Neurospora crassa OR74A: one gene and its partner. The protein of the gene in region 1 binds, or shares a complex with, the protein of each later gene. Links are inferred from orthologs where the notes say so. Each region holds a gene or a part of one and is shown in the gene's direction. Other genes may lie near its edges.

Region 1 (9,530 bases):
ATAGATTGTCGATGTTGATAGCAACGGCTTGGACCATACCTCCAAGCCGTAGGCAAGTAAGGAACCTTTGGTTTGGACCCAATTGGTGCTGATGTTTTTTCTAGCATATTCTTTCGGCGGGTTGAGTTAATGGTAACACGATACCTGTGAACAAGTACCAAGTTCGACTTTATCCGAAATAACTCTGGATCGTAGTCATACGAAACAAGACATCCAAACACGATACCCTCGAATCACCTACATCCCGTGCAACCCAAAAAAAGACACATTAACATCCAGGAAATTTCCAGAAGCCTGCCACCTCACTTCTACGTACACCCACAAGAAGATAGTTAGTCGTCATGCAACTCTATCTCAGTTGGTATCAATAACAGCAAGCCATTCAGTCCTCCCCGCCCTCCAGTTCTCCAGTTAGTACTACAATCTTATGCCAACAATTACATGAACGCAGATAGTATAAACTTGTGGATCTTTTTACCAAACGGCATACGTGACATGACATGTCGTGTAACTCCCCCAACTCTACCTCTACCTACCACCCCAAGGTATCACGAACCCAGGCACCAGCCAGCCAGCGTATGTCCCAGTGTGTCCCGACGTGTGTGTGTGTGTGTGTCCTTACCTTGAAACACACTTCATCACCGACGCCACCATACGGCCATCAGCTAGCTGGTTCCACACACGTTTAACACGAGAAACAAAGTAATTCCACTGATTCACTGGCTGTGACATGGCCGAAGCGTGTGTGCTCCGCGAGTGTACGACATCAGATTCAAGTTGAGTATGTGTGTAAGGTACGGGAAGATCCAAGATATATATCATCTTCTCGCTCGCAAGACGGAGAGAGGAAAAGATGTCTTCCCCCTGGCGATGAATGAATAAGAAGGTGAAACCCGGTACCTCTAGATGAGTTACTGGTTATAAAGTCCTACTCGACTAGCGGAAGTGACTGTTTTGTACTTGGAGACTTGAGAAACTGGTGTTACACGGCGACATTGGGAGGAAGATGGAAGCATTTGAGAAGGGTTATGGAAGCATACCTGGAAAATAGGTGGGTGGGAGCACGGAGGATATTTTGGACACTCCTACTCCTTTTGGGATCACTGGGTTCTAGAAAGTATATCTCCCGGTACCTTCGTTGACAACTCGTGAGACACATGCAGAGTTAGAATGTCAACATTATTCAACCTGTAGGATTCAGCCATTCGTCAAAAAAGCAGAAAAAAAAGACAAAAGAAAAAAGGTGTAGGCTTGCGCCTGAGAGTCTAGCCTGTTGAACGCTTCATTGGACCACTTGACAACACGCCCCATTTCGAGGTGCTGAGAGATGGGGTGAAAGAGGTAGATGATCAACCCATGCCTGATGTTTGGAGGTAGTCTGCTTGGTTACCGAGCAACAGTCAGACGTTAAAGGGAAGGAGACATGAAGGTTAGCAATTGGCTTGGAGTCTCACGTCTCAAGCTGTAAGACACTCGACGTTAATCGCCGTGAATCTGTCCACGTTGGGCAGATCATCTTTCTGCTATATCAATTCGGTTGCATGAAATCAGCTGTCGTAATTTGAAGACACGCTCAGCTTTCCGACTTTCCTGCTGTATAGGGGAGCTTGGTATTCCCACATATGTATCTATGTAGAATGGCTCCCAATTCTGGGTCGTCAGAAGCGCTGAATTATGTTTAAGTTCGTCGTGATGCCAAAAGGTTGATCAAGCGCAAGAAGATTTGCGTCCGAACATGAATATATGTACAACATGTCCAAATCTCCAGAATAACCCTTTGTCCTGAGTTCTAAGCACCGCTTCTCTGAGAGGATAACGTTCCCCACATGCAAGTCATGAATTCGACATTGCCTTTCAAGCGTTGGGGTTTGACTAAGGAAGAAGCCAGCCTTCCTGTTTGTGGTGGTACTAATCTTAATATTCAGTGGTCCGCCGCTATTCGTCGCTTCTCGTCAAGTCTACGACTTTGTAGACCGGACGACTATCAAGTTTGTACGCTTCCCTCGCTGTTTCCGCCCAGAGCCTTGTCTGAGCCTCGGGTCCCAAGCCGGCCATATGGCACGTCATCTCCACCACTCTGCGCCACTTCTTCCAGGCTTCATCACCAAGGCCTAGAGTGCACACCGGCCAGTCGCTGCCAAACATGATGCGTTCGGGCCCAAAGGCGGCTATCACCACAGCAAGCCAGGGTAGGATAGCAGAGAGAATTTCCTCGGCCGGGCGAGCCCTCAAAAACTCGGGCATCTCGCTGAAGCAGCCGCTCAGTTTCATGTAGGTACGGTCGCACTTGCTGAGAGTAAACATGGCGGTGCGCCAGGCGATGTATGAGGGATCCGTTTGTACATTGACGATGGTTAGATCTGGCTTGCAAAGGTGGTCTGAGATGAGAACCATCAGTTAGCAAGCAAATCATGCAGAATGTGTCAAGGTAAAAACTTACTCAGGATAAATACCACTTTGTCCTCCTCGTCCACACCTTCGTGTGCACGGTCGATCATTTCTACCGCCTCCTCCAGTTGGATTCTCCCTCTTTTGTGCTGGTCAACACCCAGGTCAAAGACGAACTTCTTTCTGCCAAGCAGCTTCAGGCCCTCGATAAAATCGTCACTTAGGGCTGTTCCGTTGGGCTTATCTTGCAGCAAGTAGCGGAAACCCTTCACCTTGGCCCATGTTTCAGGCCCGGCTTCCTTTTCCGCAGCTGCGAGATACTTTTCCAACTCGGCAGAGCCCAATACAACCGGCGCCCACGGCACAATTCCGAGACAATCACGGCCATCGTCAGCCGTGTGGCCCTCGCCAGGCTTCGGTTGGCCGGTTACGATGCGGCGAAGCCATGCGATCTCTTGTAGGGGGTAAGTCCAATCCTTAGCATTGTCGTTCTTGCGGTCGACCTCAATTGCGACGTAGCCCTGAAGATTGCCAGGCGCACCGGTGGCGGTCTGGTATTCCTGGATGGAGTGCTGCTTGGCGAGAGGATTGTCTTCAGCGTACCACTGGTGGGATTCTACCTCGGACTGGGGATAGAGGTGCACATGGGTGTCGATGATGGGAACGGAAACGGCGGGAGATGATGCCATTTTGATCAGGCCGTTATCGAGCTCGAGTTTGGTAAAGCGACGGATATGTTTGGCAAGAAAGTAAGGTATCCAGTGATAGAGAAAGAGAAGGAGACAAGCGAAGCAAGCAAAGTCAGAGATGACAGGAAGTAGGAAGGTCAGGACGTCGAAGCGGTGTACCGTCCTGCAGGCAGACCAACGCTGAACACACAAAAGTAGAGGTATGGATGGGATGTAACTGAGGCAACGGGGGAACTTCCAATCGAGCCTTCTCCTTCTTATATTTTGTATTCGTTTTAGCATAGGCAGGCACGCGCTACAGTACGAGGAGAGTACCTCGATGGTCAGGAGGGGGTGGGAGATGGGATCGACACAGACAGCCAGGAACCACGACGAGGTGGGGTACGTTCGGCATGCAAAGGGCAGGCCCAAGACGGGACAATTCACACCGAAAGATTCAAAGATAGGGTTCCTGATCAAGAATGGTTACCTCCCGTCTTCGGTTTCCATTTCCTTGAGGAACCCAAGGTCCTTTTCCCTTTCGTCTTCCTACAGCACCGGAAGAAAGATACCCTTGTTATGTACAGTCATCACATGATTGTGCGAATATATTAGCAAAAAGGGTTCTATCTGCAAGACCTGACAGAGAAATCATGACATGTTCCAAAAGCTTAAGAAGTGAACGAGGCCAAGAGGGAAGTTGAGCCCCTGGAACTTGCTGAAGTTGAGCTCTCGGGTGGGGTTTGATGTGGAGATATGGGGTTGGCGGGCAACTGCCATGCTTGTCAGAAGCGCTTGGCAGCAACACTCCCCGGCAAACGCAAACTACACGCGCTATACAAACTGGGGCCCTCCGCACGGACCGTGGATGCCTAGCAATTAAACTCTTGCCCCTCCTCGACGCGCTGCCAAACGCGTCGCTGCTGCAGTCCATTGTTTGTGTGAAATTTCCCCTCCAGACCACCATCATCATCAGTCCAACACACTCGATCCATCCGTATCTTGTCGGATCTTTCTTGACTTCTGCGCCCCAATCCTTGCATCTTCGAACACGACTCACGCATAAATCAACCTCAAAAACAACATCGAGAACGTCTCCACGGGCTTGACGCCAACACTACCCAACCAACATGGCGGGTCAAATCACACAGGGCGCTCTGGAGTAGGTTTCTTCACGTGTGCTTCCATCCAGTAGTATGACAGACTCTGACTTCTTGCTATAGCGCCATGTTCAATGATCCCGATCGCGCACAACAACAGTTCCCTGTCCCCATCCTTCAATGTCTCCAGATCAAGACCCTCGACTCCAAGAATGGGGGCGCGGGCGCCACGGAGAGGTTCCGCATTGTGCTGAGCGACCTCAAGAACTATGTCCAATGTATGATGGCCACGCAAACAAACCATCTTGTTCACGATGGCCTCCTGCAACGCGGCTGCATCGTGCGCTTGAAGCAGTATCAAGCTCAATGTCTCAAGGGCAAAAAGTACGCCTATCTACCCCTCCGCCAATTCGGGAAATCCATAACACTGACTGTTTAAATCCAGCATCTTGATTGTCCTCGATCTCGAAGTTATCCAGTCCCTTGGCTGTCCCGAAAAGATGGGCGATCCACAGCCTCTTGGCCCCCGCAGTGCAGAACCACAGCAGAACCCCAATCTCGGCAGCACCGGCTTCTATGGCGTCAAGAGCGAACCTACCCAAGACACGAAACCACAGTTTCCACGCCAGATGCCCTCGCGTAATGCCAGCGGGGGTCAGGGATCAAGCACGATATATCCTATTGAAGGTCTCTCGCCCTTCTCGCACAAATGGACCATCAAGGCCAGAGTCACCTCCAAGTCCGATATCAAGACCTGGCACAAGGCTAGCGGCGAGGGCAAGCTCTTCAGCGTCAACTTTCTTGACGAGAGTGGCGAAATTAGAGCAACAGGATTCAACGACCAAGTCGACCAGTTCTATGATTTGCTACAGGAGGGTCAGGTTTACTACATTTCTACACCTTGCAGGGTACAGCTTGCCAAGAAGCAATGGTCGAATCTCCCCAATGACTACGAGCTCACCTTTGAGCGGGATACCGTGATCGAAAAGGCCGAAGACCAGACATCTGTACCACAGGTACGCTTCAACTTTGTCAACATCCAGGAGCTTCAGGATGTTGAGAGGGATGCGACTGTCGATATTATTGGTGTCCTCAAGGAGGTCCAAGAGGTGACCCAGATTGTATCCAAGACCACACAGAAGCCGTACGACAAGCGCGAGCTGACCCTTGTTGACAACACTGGGTACTCGGTACGTTGTACCATCTGGGGTAAGACGGCCACGAACTTTGATGCTCAGCCTGAATCCATTGTGGCCTTCAAGGGCACAAAGGTCAGCGATTTCGGTGGACGCAGCTTGTCCCTGCTTTCGTCTGGCACCATGGCCATCGATCCGGATATTCCAGAGGCCCATCATCTCAAGGGCTGGTATGATAGCAGCGGCAGGAACAACACCTTCGCCACCCACAACAACATGCAGACCTTGGGTGGTGCGACCGGTCGCAAGGACGACGCCAAGACCATCTCACAAGTAAAGGAAGAGAACCTTGGCACAAACGAGGCGCCGGATTACTTCGCTCTCAAGGCAACGGTTGTATTCATCAAGCAGGATAACTTTGCCTACCCTGGGTGCCGAAGCGAAGGCTGTAACAGGAAGGTCACAGATATGGGTGATGGTACCTGGCGCTGCGAGAAGTGCCAGATCAACCACGATAGACCTCAGTACCGTTACATTATGAGCGTCAACGTCAACGACCACACAGGTCAACTTTGGCTTAGCTGCTTCGACGATACGGCGCGGGTCATCATGGGCAAGTCGGCCGATGAACTTATGGAGATTCGAGAGACCGACGAGACGCGGTTGCCCGCCGAGTTTGAGCAGGCCAACTGCCGCAAGCTGAACTTTAGGTGCAGGGCGAAGATGGACACATTTGGTGAACAGCAGAGGTACGTATCGGGGGTTATTCTCACGATTAGATGGACGTTGCTGACACATTGCTTGTTGCAGGATTCGATACCAGGTCATGAGCGTGGCGCCCCTTGACTACAAGATGGAAGGAAACAAGCTTAACGAGCTCATCAATTCTTACAACCAAATGAGCATGTAAAGGGGAGGGTGGGGTTTGTTCACTTATGCGAGGAACTAGATGATGTATATGGTTAATGAACACGTGTTTGTATTTTCGGGCATGTGGTCTCAAGGATGAACGATATGGGCATCACTGGCCTATCGACTGAAAGATGATTTGCAGTTTCATGATGGACTGGGATGGTTAAGAGCTGTGATGGGCCGAACCCTAACAGAACTTTGTTGGCGTGGCAGCAAATTTCGGCATGATTGCAGACTTGAATAGGTCTCTCAAGCGTTATCTTGGAGTTGAGACACTAGGAGACCTTCCTGTTCGAGTTATCTTCGATAACATGCCGAGGTAAGTACACACGCTTCGTTGACTAGAAGAAAGCTCCAGAGCTGGTCAAGGTCGGATCAGGGCGGTCCTTGCAATGTAATACGCACCTTTCGGGCTCAATATCCACATGGCAATCCGATCATCTCATCCGTTATCGGCCTTCTTCACCCTCTCGTATTCTCAAACTCTTCTATGCTTCAGCTTTTTCACGCAAAGAACCCGTGGCACAGCCTTTCCTGGTCATCTTTCTTCACTTTCCAACTTCCGTTATGTGAATAGGCACCCCGGCTCCGGTCTCTATGCGGACTGTTTAGCTGCTCGATACCGTATCGGCACTTATCGATTACGCAGATGGATGACAGGAACCTAAACGCCGTATCTTCCTTATCGGCCGTCGTCGGGATCCCCTGCCGTGACTCCACATATCCGCCGTCCAGACCCGCCCCCGCTCCGTTCCCTCGGGCCCCCCACTTTCGATGTAGCGGGAAGCTGACACCGAGTTCTAGAACAAAAGACTATTGAAATCACGTTTGAACCGTATTCGTGTCAGCACTAAGACCAAGTTAAACCTTTATCTTTGCTCATACTTCTCTATCCCATTCAGTGTCTTCTTGTTGTCTACTTACACTCATCACCTTCCACCAACATCAACAACAAAGTGACAAGCTTCAACCTCTCAAACCTCCAACGAAATGGCCGACCCCAGCACCACCCCTCCCCTTACCCGTGCCTCCGTCCTCGCCGCTCACTCCCTCATAAAGCCCTACATTCACGAGACGCCCGTGCTTACGAATACCACTTTCGACCAACTCGCTTCCACCCCTCGTACTCCCGAAGAGCTGCAAGGAACGGAATGGGAGGCTACCGAAAGACCGGCGAACCCAAAGATTCGGTTCTGGTTCAAGTGCGAGAATTTCCAGCGGATTGGCGCGTTCAAGGCTAGAGGAGCGTTTCATGCTGTGGAGAGGTTGAAGCAAACTGAGGGGTTAGAGGGGTTGAAGAAGGGCGGAGTAGTGACGCATAGTTCTGGTTTGTGAATTTCCGCTTTTTTTTTTTTTTTTTTTTTTTTTTTTTTTTTTTTTTTTTTTTTTTTTTTTTTTTTTTTTTTCTTTTAATCTGGATATGATGAGGTGATATCAGTATTGAGAGAAATGAGATTGTGAAGATGTGAAGTTTTTTTGAAGGCTTTGAAATAGGTTGAGTTGTCTGAATTGTCTTCTGAGATGTGATGAGAGTTGTCGATGTGTTCAAGACGTAGTAGCTACGTGAAGACCCAAACTGACGTGACAACGAACTAAAAGGTAACCACGCCCAAGCCCTTTCCCTCGCTGCCCGCGAGAACGGCATCCCGGCGCACATCGTTATGCCTACCATCTCGCCTCCGCCCAAGATCGCTGCCACCAAGGGTTACGGCGCCAACATAACCTTTAGCGGAAGCACGAGTACCGAGCGTGAAGCAGTTACAAGGGAGGTGATTGAGAAGACGGGTGCGAGGCTGGTGCCGCCTTATGATCGTATGTCCCTTCTCCTTTTTTCTTCTCACGTGTCCTTTCTTTAGGAGTCTCTTCAGAGTGTCTTCAAACCCTCTCGAGGTCCTCTCGCCCACTTTCATCCTCCCGTCTCTTCACCCCAACACTGAACTGACCAACTAACATCCCCACCCCAACCCACACCAGACCCAGACATCATCCTCGGCCAAGGCACCGCCGCCCTAGAGCTCCAACGCCAAGTCGCCGCCTCTCTCTCCACCTCCGGCACCACCACCACCACCAACCGTCGTCGTCTTAACGCGATAATAACCCCCTGCGGCGGCGGTGGTCTCCTCTCCGGCACCGCTCTCGCCTGTTCCGACCTCTCCCCTTCCGATCCCTCCACACCCGGTCCAATCCTGGTCTTCGGCGCCGAACCCTCCTTCTCGGGCGCGGACGACGGTCGTCGGGGTTACTACTCGGGCACTCGCATCGAGAGCGTCAAATCCTTGACGATTGCCGATGGGCTGCGGACTCCTCTGGGGGCGTATCCGTGGAGTATCATCTATGAGCGGAAGCTGGTGGCGGGCATGTACAGTGTGGGCGAGGAAGAGATCAAGAAGGCGCTGAGGCTGGTTTATGAGAGGATGAAGGTTGTTGTTGAGCCGAGCGCGGTAGTGGGGTTGGCGGTAGCGTTATTTAATGAGGAGTTTAGGAGTATGGTGGAGAGGGAAGGGGGGGAGGAAGGGTGGGATTTGGGGGTGGTGTTTAGCGGAGGGAATGTTGAGCTGGCGGCGTTGGGGAGGTTGTTTGGTGAGGAATAGACCGGTCAAGGAGAGGAGCTTATATAAAGAGGAACTAGGAGTTGAAGTCAATGTCAGCTCGTCTGCTGTCCAAGAATCAGACCACTAATGCATAAACCAAGCCATTGAACAGAGAAAGAAAAAGAAAAGTTCATTGACCGACATGCCACCGGGCAGAGGCCCCCCATAAAGATAATTATATACAATCCGAACAAACCGAACCCAGAACAAACCAAATCGAAGAGACGTCGGAGAAAAGGCTTTTTAATATCCCCCATATTTCCCAGAGGTATCCCGTCCCGTTCCAGCGGCCGGCCAGTCATATGATGCGGCCTGTGCAGCGTGTTGTGTGCATCTGTTATTTTTCAAACCTGCCCAACTACCGGAGTATCATTTGTGTATCCCTCGTGCAAGCAGAAATCACGACCCAACCAAAAAGCATCAAAAGCCAATTGTTTACTTCTGGTTCTCGGGACGGAGGGAGCTAGGAAGAGAAACAAATGTTAGTCAGGGGTCTTTGTGGCAAAAGGGCAGACGAGGTCACATACCGAACGGCCTTGCCGGCGCGCCAGATCTCGAGGTTGCGGATCTCGTCGAGCTCAGCCTCGTAACGCTCACGGTAATCGGGCTGAGAGTTGTACTCGAGAGAGCGCTTGGTCTCGTCACCGTTCTTGACGGAGTCGTAGAGGTTGTTGAAGACGGGCTTAAGGGCGTCCTTGAACTTGGGAGTCCAGTCGATAGCACCACGGCGGGCGG
Region 2 (8,342 bases), about 2.8 Mb from region 1:
AGCGTTGTGTGACCGGGCTGGCTCACTCTCGCAGGTAGAAGAAAACAATACGCCTTTCTGTATCGTACATTTCTGGGAGCCCGGTTGTCTGGGCACCCGAAATATATCAAAAGCTTGGAAGGAGGGTTCGAAAAGAAATGGAATGCCAGTTATCGAGACAAAGGGTGTGCTGTCTGGCAGAAGTTCGGGGCGCTCGAAGGTCAAGTGAAGCGAAAAGACATGGTTTTCTTTCCAAGCTGGTTGGAAGCAATGACTAACAGTCAAACCACAGCCCGGAAAGGAAAGATGGATTTGAAATTGACATTCAAACTTGCTGGTGAACAGGCGAGTATGATGAAGGACGAAAGCTCGGATGCCAAGCTACGTTGGTGGAGGCAAGCAGGCGGAGGGAGGGTACCTCTGTTCTGGCACAACATCAAGCAACAATGGCCGTACCAAATGCTTTTCCGTGCTACCCCCATTTTAGCGTGGCGGACTGAGCAGGCCGGGCAAGCAGGAAAGGAAAGACACAAAAAAGAGCTCGCCTCTAGGATTTCAAGGATGGTAGACCGAGGAGGTTGTGCTGGTGGATGGACTGGAACGACAGACGGATGCTACCTGTGACTTGTGAAGCTTTGGGGCGGGCAAAGCCCAAGCTCTGAGCTCTCCTCGACCCTCTCTGCTTTGTTGGCCTCCCAACCACAACAGTCAAACGATCCTAGCCGAGGTGAGGAGAGAGCTCGATATGCAGGATAGCTCCCTGCTCGGAAGATACCGTGCCTGGAGGTGCGTTGGTCGGAAACGTACGAGGGAGCTCGGCCAGAGCTTCACTCGCTTCATCCGATCTCCGACCCCTCAGCTAGAGAGCGGTCGTGTATGAGGGGCGATGCGCTTTGGCCTGGATGAGGAGGTGACTCGTTGGACTGGTAGGCCGGCAATGAGACCCATCGCCTTTTGGAATGCCTCTTGGAAGACGAGAGCGGAGAAGAGGAGCCGCCAGATGTCTCAGTTCAGGAGGGTAGCATCCCGGCCCTGATCAATGTAACATTGCCTTCCATGATCCGGGCAGCTTGTGACTTGTATGGAAGCGTCTAAGCTGTTTACGCTGCACAAGAACGCGTTAGCTCCAGACACCCACACATTCTAAGGTGCGGTAGGCTTCTAATTGGCTTGCGGTACTGTCCAAGGCCAGTCCAGTCTGCCAGGCCGAGGCCAGGTTCAAAGTTCCCGCCATGGGAAGACAATGGCTGAGACGTTACCATGATTAATGGCACAGAGAACCGGTCAGCGATGGGAAATCAAGAATCTCCATCTGATGGATTAGGTGGGCAGACTTAGGTATTCTGTATTCTGGTGGCTTAAGCCTCAGCAAACCGAAATGGTGGTTTTCGAAAGTGCTCTGCCCTGGTCGTACAAGGCGGGGTTGTAAGTGATCATGGAGGAGAGGACATGGGGAAGCTGAGTGGACGAGAGCACAACGTACACCTCCACTGTGTAAGTTTGCTCTGTGTTACCTTCCCTTTCCTTCCCTTCCCTTTCCCTTCCACTCTCACCATACCGAAAGGCTTGCTGTAGATCTGATCTACCTGCGGCATTGAACACTGTACAAGCATCTCCTCCCGGCGGGCTTCCGACATACCCTACTGCGGCTTCGGAAGCATCGGATACGCCGCGAAAACAATATTTAGTATATACCCTAAGTGGCATACGTGCATTAGCGTTGCTGCATACAGGCCGGGTAACTGACTTGACATGATTCCTCAAGGTACGAAATGGAACGATTGACTTGGGGGTTCCTAGTAACTTCCCGCGACCAGTTGGGGGCTTTTTGACGAAGGTGTGAATGGAGTCGATTCTGGCATGGCGCAATCTCGAGCCATCGTTTTCGCGACACCAAAAGGTATCCACGAAACCCTGTCCCTGGCCGAGCGTGCATATCTGTCAGGATGTACCGAGCAGCTTGAATGGAGATCATGCTACAAAGTGGAATGATACCGCTGCCTTACAGCTCTTTGTGCAGACTCCATGTCTTTTGCCACCTCTAGCACTTATTCACCAGCATGTGGGGACGATATAATCTGGGCATCCTTTTCCCGAGGCAACTTCGTACCAGCAAAGTGACCGGGCATTGAAAGATGTTTAATTGAGGACTCAGATAGATGCTTGATTGACGACTTGGTAAATGATTTGTGTTCAAGCTCCAGCATCAAATTGAATGCATGCCATCTAAAGCTCAAACTTTCCCCGTGAGAGCGCTGGAAGATAAGCGGCGTCGAGAATCTGGACTCTTGACTGGATTCCTTGTCGCTTTCATCGGAGTTCTCAAGAAGACCTGGCCAGTCCCCTGGATGATGCTGTCACGCACTATGGTGAGATGGGTAAGCAGGCACTGTAAAAACCCGTGGGCCGGGTCGCTGATGATCGCTGATCACACAGTGTCCTGGACAAAGTCATGAGCTTTGCCTATGGTGGTTCGTGCTCGGTACCTGACAAGGGGATTTTTGACTTTGAACTTGCAGCCACAGAATCACCGGTGATTTAAACCGTGGCGGAGCCGGATTCCGAGTGAGCGAGTTCCCTCCAGTCCAATTCGCCAGTCATATCTTTCCATGCCCCCCAGCTCTAGATTTCTTGAAGAGCAGAAGAAGAAAAAAGAAAAATGAAAAACCAAAAAAAGAAAGAGAACAAGAAAAAAAAGCCCGATGGTGCCCAAGACAGACGGCAAGTTTTCATCCAAAGATCGAACCGCCGAGACGAAACCAAGGGATGTCGCTGAATGCGGCGCAACAGGACGTTGTTCTGGCGAAGTTGAAGTTGAGTTCCAGCTCGCGTAGATCGGGACCCGCATCTCCACCCCGCTGATAGGACGCTAAATGGTGGGGCTCCTAGGCTTCCTTATCCCCGCCATTCCCACAGATTTGAATGCCGTGGGGCTCTCGACCCCCTGTCGCTCACAGCAAAGGTGCCGACTGTACCGCACATGGTCTGAATTCCAAGGAAGCAGGCACAGTGCAGGCAGCAAGTAAATACATGCGAAGTGTACAAATATCGTGCCTCACTGGAATTGCTGTTGTCGCTTCGATATCGGACGCGCTTTCGACTGTGACGTTGAATCTTTGATCCACAGAAAGGATGTCCTCCTTCGTGTTGAAGAAGGACCGTGAATCAATGATAGCCGGCACGGCATTCAAACCCCGGAAGCAACGACGTTCGTTACTTGTGTTGAACTTGAAACCCTTTACAATAGAAGCCCCTACGAATGCATTACCCTTATACTGCATGAGCACCAAAGCACTCCCTCTTACCGCAAACCAAGGCTTGGCTACGAAACCAGGTCCCCAACCAAAACTCAGCCCCCTAATCTGCATATACTGTGATCAGTGAATAGCTCACTCGCGGCGGGTCCCCATTGTCTGAATAACATGCAGTTTCCAGAGATTCCACTGTACATGGCCCAGTGCCCCGCACGTAACGAAACTCCTTCCCCTAACAACATCACACCAAGCAACCGCACTGAGCTGTTAGTACATTCACAGCAAACAAAACCAAGACCATCATCAACCAACCCAAACAAACAACAAAAAGTGTATCAGAAACCTCACAACAGCCTCACTCACGACATTGACCTCTTTGCTCCGCAAACTCCAACTCTCCGACAACACCAATAACACGACCCCACCACTCAATCACCACACTCTCCATACCTACGCGGACTCTTCAGCTCACGGACACACGGGAAAGAGGAAAAAAAATGGACAACAAATCTTCCACCCCCCGCATCACCTGCGCCTATCTCAGCCAGTATGTCGGCAAGCTCGTGACGGTCGTAGGCAAAGTTGTCCAGCTACGCGGCGAGGAGGCGACTATTGACGCTGATGGGACCATTCATGCATTTTTGAACCGCGTACGTTCGGATTCTCGCCCTTCTTTTTTTTTTTCCACTGGTGCCACCAAACTTCAAGAATAAGAGACGAAACGAAGGCTGTTAAGAGTCATGATGGATTGGATAGTGTCCCGTGATGACTAACCAAAACATGTCGAAAACTTACAGGAAGCACACCTCTCAGCAAACAACGGCGTCCAACTCATCGGCAAGGTCAACCCGGATCTTTCCATCAAAGTGCTTAGCTCCGTTGATTTGGGGCAGGGTGTTGGTGAGTTTCTTCTTCTCTTTCCCCATCGCCCCCCGCCTCCTCCTCTCTTGTGACCATCCCTCATCATCCATCCTCCTCCCTTGATCGCTATACTTCTATCTACACCATTGTAGATATTACGTGTGCTTACGCATGAAACAGACTACAACCTAGCAAACGCTGTCGTGGAAGTCACTCATCGTTACAAGCCCCTCTTTGTGTACGAGAACTAAGGTGAGAGGGCGCGAGGAAACCACTACACACCCCCAGAGATGGGGAGAGAAGGGGGAAAAGGAAGAGGCAAAATAATACCCAACTATAACAAATGGAACCCAGATTTCTTAGAACCCTTCATCCGAGTTATACTTCGATATTCGTCACCAAATGTCGAAATAGTCCAAGCGTTGCGACCGCAGGCGCCACGCACACGCAAGACGCGGCGGCACTGCGGGGAAACGAACATGCCAACCAACTTACTATTGTCATGCCTGCTTCGACATGGCGGCGGCAATATCTATTTTTCTTGCAGGAGCAGCTCAGCGGAAATAGAGAGCAAATGTGGAGAAGGAGTCCGATATGCGGCAGTCTCAACTGCTATACAATTGTGATGTAATTCAGTTGTGCTCTGGGTACGAGACTCGGACTACAGACTGCATAGGAACAGATGGCAGACAGCAAAAAAAGCAAGACGAGGCAAAACAAAAAGGTGAAAATAAAAGAGAGAAAAACGCTTTGGTATCCCATATCCCAGCCCATCCCAATCAGTATTGCGCCCGAAACACCCATTTCACTTTCCCCTCTTCACAAATGCGGCGAGTCGCGCGTAGCGTGCAAGAATAATCATCCCACTTTTCGTTGAGGTGTAAATCGTAGTGACCTTTTGTTTTGTGTTTTTTTGCGCCCACGCTGCGAAATATGGATTTCCTTCTCTCCCAATCTGGAATCAGACCATAACCGTGCCCATTCACTGCAACATCATTCGTATCTCAATCACACGAGTTGCGAGATCTGCGGATGGATCTCGTAGATTATCGAGATCCAAGCTCAACTGTTCTCCCAGGGGGGCTTCGGCCCCTGCTCCGACTGCGACTGATCATTGAGGCCCTAACTCAACTCATCCACATCAGCAGCGGCATTCCTCTCCGCCTCACACCCTCCTCCTCCGCTAGTAGCCGTAGTCTCCACCCACAAGCTTTCGATGCTCAACGACGCCTCGAAGCTCAAATTGCCATTGCCACCATCTTCATGGTGATGACCCCTCATCATAGGCGGGGAGCTAGCCATGACCATATCGGTACCCATGAAACTGCCAAAGTCCAAAGCACCCGCGCCCTCCACGAGTTGTTGCACGCTGTCGCTGTCATAGTGCTGCATATTAACGTCCAGAAGCCCGTGCGATGACGAGTTGGCGGTGAACTGGTCAGCTTCACTCAACAGTTGGTTCAGCGAGCCCCAAGCCTCAAAGTCGTGGGTTGGGGACGAGGTAGGCACGTGCAGGCTGTCGTCAAGCGCAAAGCGTGCGTGGCGGGGGCTTCGCCGCTTGGACGCGCTAACGAGAATGCCTCCGTTGCTACCGGAGACAGTACGCGTACCGCGCGGAGTCTTGGTGGGGGTTCGTTGGGTTTGCGTAAAGAGCTGACTGGGTGACTTCTGCGCCGACCGAACGGTACGGATGGACCGAGATATACTCCTAGTAATGGGCCGGTGATTCGGAGTCGGCCGGGTAGGCGTCTTGAAGATACCCGAAGAGGGGTTCTTCGGGGGCGGTGTTGACGGCCTGACGACTGGACTGCCGAAAAGTTCTTGGTCAAGCTCGTCCTGGTCCGCAAGGACAGGGGTATTGGGGCGCCTTGCCGGCTGGTGACCGATGTTTTCCTTGCCCATGGCAGCAGACTTCGGGTCTTGCGACGCAGTGGTGGCATTGACGGCGTTACTTATGAGCTCCCCAAGGACTTTTGGCGCTCCCTCCTTCCTAGGTGAGGGGAAGAGAAGCCTTCTAGTAGTGCCAAGATCATCCTCTACTGCGATGGGGCTGTCCGCCGTTCCACTGCCCCTAGAGTGAGTTGACCCGAGCCCACGTCGCTTTGGGGAGCTACGCGAGTTTAAAATCATCTGATGCAATGATTGATTGTTATTGTTGTTGTTGCTGTCCTCCATTGCGGCCACGTTCTGGTGCGTCGGTTGAGTCATATTTTGATGTTGCGCCTCTTCCGGTGATTCCTGATCGGCCGGTCCAATTGGATCAGTCGTGAAATATGCCTCCGATGTTGGGTTTGTCTGGGTGTCATTCTTTCGCTTTTTGTTGCGCGAGTTTTTCTTCTTTCGGGGCTGATTAAGTCGGGCGGCATCCTTGTCCCACCTGTCCTGTGGCCTATGAACTTTGAATTTGGCGAGCCAGATACCGCATGGGTTACAGAGGAGAGTTTCCTTCCAAATTTTCTTGTCGTCCGTGGGCCCGAGATTTTTCTTCACCAATTGGTACATAATGGTCTGTCCATCAGCATCCTTCTCGAGGATATCGATCGTAGTCACAAATCCAGGTTTATCGGAAAACTCGTAAAGACCAGGAACTCCTCGATGATCTTGCGTCCAAATCTTCCGCCAGGTAGGAGTTTCTATGGCGCCACAATTGTTGCAAAATGGCGGCGACTCTCCTCTTTGAATAGCCTCCTCCAGTTTCTCCTTAATTGACTGCTTCTTCACCATATTTTTGTTATAGCGAGGCGGTTCTTCGGGCTCGCTAGGTTCCTGGGGGGCAGGTGCACGAGCCCGAGCAGAGGCTTCAGACTGTACTGCTCGGGATGACGTTCCAGTAGATCCCACAACGGGGTCGCTGGCCGGGACAGAGCTGTTCGAGACGGGCTTTGACGCTGGTTGGGCTGCTTTGCTCTGAACAGGTTCGGGTCGTTCAGGAATGGGCATCACAGTGGTAGCAGGGACAGGAGCTTGTGGCTGAGCTGATGTGTTTCCCGTGTTCTGGGTCTCGAGTTGTTGCTGAGGGTTGAACGGCGGCCGATGTTGAGTTTGAGAGCTTTGCATATCTGCCTGTGAGGTTTGGGAAGCAGTCCCTTCCTGAGGAGCTTCGCCATCTTGCTGATCATTAGGTTGTCGCGATAAGGGATCGTGATCGGACAGTGAAGGGTTTGGGGCTGTATTCGACCTCTTGAATGGGCGATCCGCGTTCTTTTTCGGTATGGGTGGGACTGATGTGGCGTGTGCGACTCTGTTCAGCGCCTTCGTCTTTCCAGCAGGGTTGAAGATGCTCTTCGTGGGCAAAAGCTCCTTTGGTCCGGGATTGACTTCTTGGAAGGGGAAGTTGATACCCTGTCGATGGGCCTGGCTCCCTTTTCGTGCATTTAGTTTGCTGACTTGAGGTACCGGAGGGCTCATCACCGTTCGATCTTGAGGCTGGCCGGGTAGCTCTTGGCCGTGGTCTTGAGGAGCATCTTGTAATAGCTCATCCTCGTCGAAGATGTCGTCGAACCCGCCGCTCATGAAGCCGGAGTCGACTTGTGGCATAGGAACGGGCATAGGCGGGAGAACTGGGCTTGAAACATAAGGACTTGAGTGCATGTAGGCACTAGTCCTGGGAACCGGAGGGGATGATGCAATATCGGCGGGACTATCTTCAGGCACGTAGCCTTGGTCTGGTGACTGGCCGATGGAGTCGGTGGGTGACCGGGCATCGTGGCTTATACTCCTCTGCATGGTTTGTTGACCGAAGCGCGACTGGTACATGCTGCTCTCTGCATCACCCGCAAAGTCAGACTTCATTTTGTTCTCAAAGATGAGCCTTCTCTGTTGTCGCTGTAACATTGACCCGTCTGGAACAGGGGTAGGAGCGCGAGGCACGTCCTGAACATGACTCCCTGAAGAGGAATTACCACCAGCTCCAACAGGCCTCATGTTACGCAGAGAACCGGATGTACTGGCCGCAACTCTCAATGACTCTGGGGCTGAACCAAATGGCGCACTACTAGTGAATTCGGCACTGGTGACCTTGGCTCTCTTCTTTTGCGGGCCATCATCACCATCAGTCGCTTCCTCGGCGGCTGACGTATTGCCTGCTTCGAGAGGCTTTTTGCGCGGTCGGCCTCGTGGTCTGCCAGTAGGAGCTCTAGTACGGGACGCTCTACTAGACGGTCTCGAGGTGGAACGCGCCGACTGGCTGATGGGGATCTCGACAGACTGGCTGGGAGCCGGGGATGAGGCGCTTTCGCCGGTAGGAGC

What was found.
Region 2: rpa-1 (region 1) and rpa-3 share a complex: the UniProt entries of both Schizosaccharomyces pombe proteins name them as parts of the heterotrimeric canonical replication protein A complex. The link is inferred for Neurospora crassa OR74A from reciprocal best matches to the Schizosaccharomyces pombe genes ssb1 and ssb3.

What each region holds. Positions count from the first base shown.
Region 1 is NC_026505.1:1,819,580-1,829,109, forward strand, and holds rpa-1 (replication factor-A protein 1), read left to right. Parts: upstream 1-3,949; 5' UTR 3,950-4,186; coding exon 4,187-4,218; intron 4,219-4,279; coding exon 4,280-4,540; intron 4,541-4,601; coding exon 4,602-6,041; intron 6,042-6,102; coding exon 6,103-6,202; 3' UTR 6,203-6,629; downstream 6,630-9,530. Other genes in the region: NCU03605 (amidohydrolase), read right to left, coding at 1,936-2,378, 2,441-3,359; NCU03607 (threonine dehydratase catabolic), read left to right, coding at 7,195-7,531, 7,804-8,016, 8,179-8,795; ilv-2 (ketol-acid reductoisomerase), read right to left, coding at 9,231-9,258, 9,323-9,530. UniProt on the Schizosaccharomyces pombe protein: As part of the replication protein A (RPA/RP-A), a single-stranded DNA-binding heterotrimeric complex, may play an essential role in DNA replication, recombination and repair.
Region 2 is NC_026505.1:4,665,527-4,673,868, reverse strand, and holds rpa-3 (replication protein A-3), read left to right. Parts: upstream 1-3,576; 5' UTR 3,577-3,730; coding exon 3,731-3,883; intron 3,884-4,030; coding exon 4,031-4,133; intron 4,134-4,274; coding exon 4,275-4,345; 3' UTR 4,346-4,717; downstream 4,718-8,342. Other genes in the region: NCU01461 (hypothetical protein), read right to left, coding at 5,217-8,342. UniProt on the Schizosaccharomyces pombe protein: As part of the replication protein A (RPA/RP-A), a single-stranded DNA-binding heterotrimeric complex, may play an essential role in DNA replication, recombination and repair.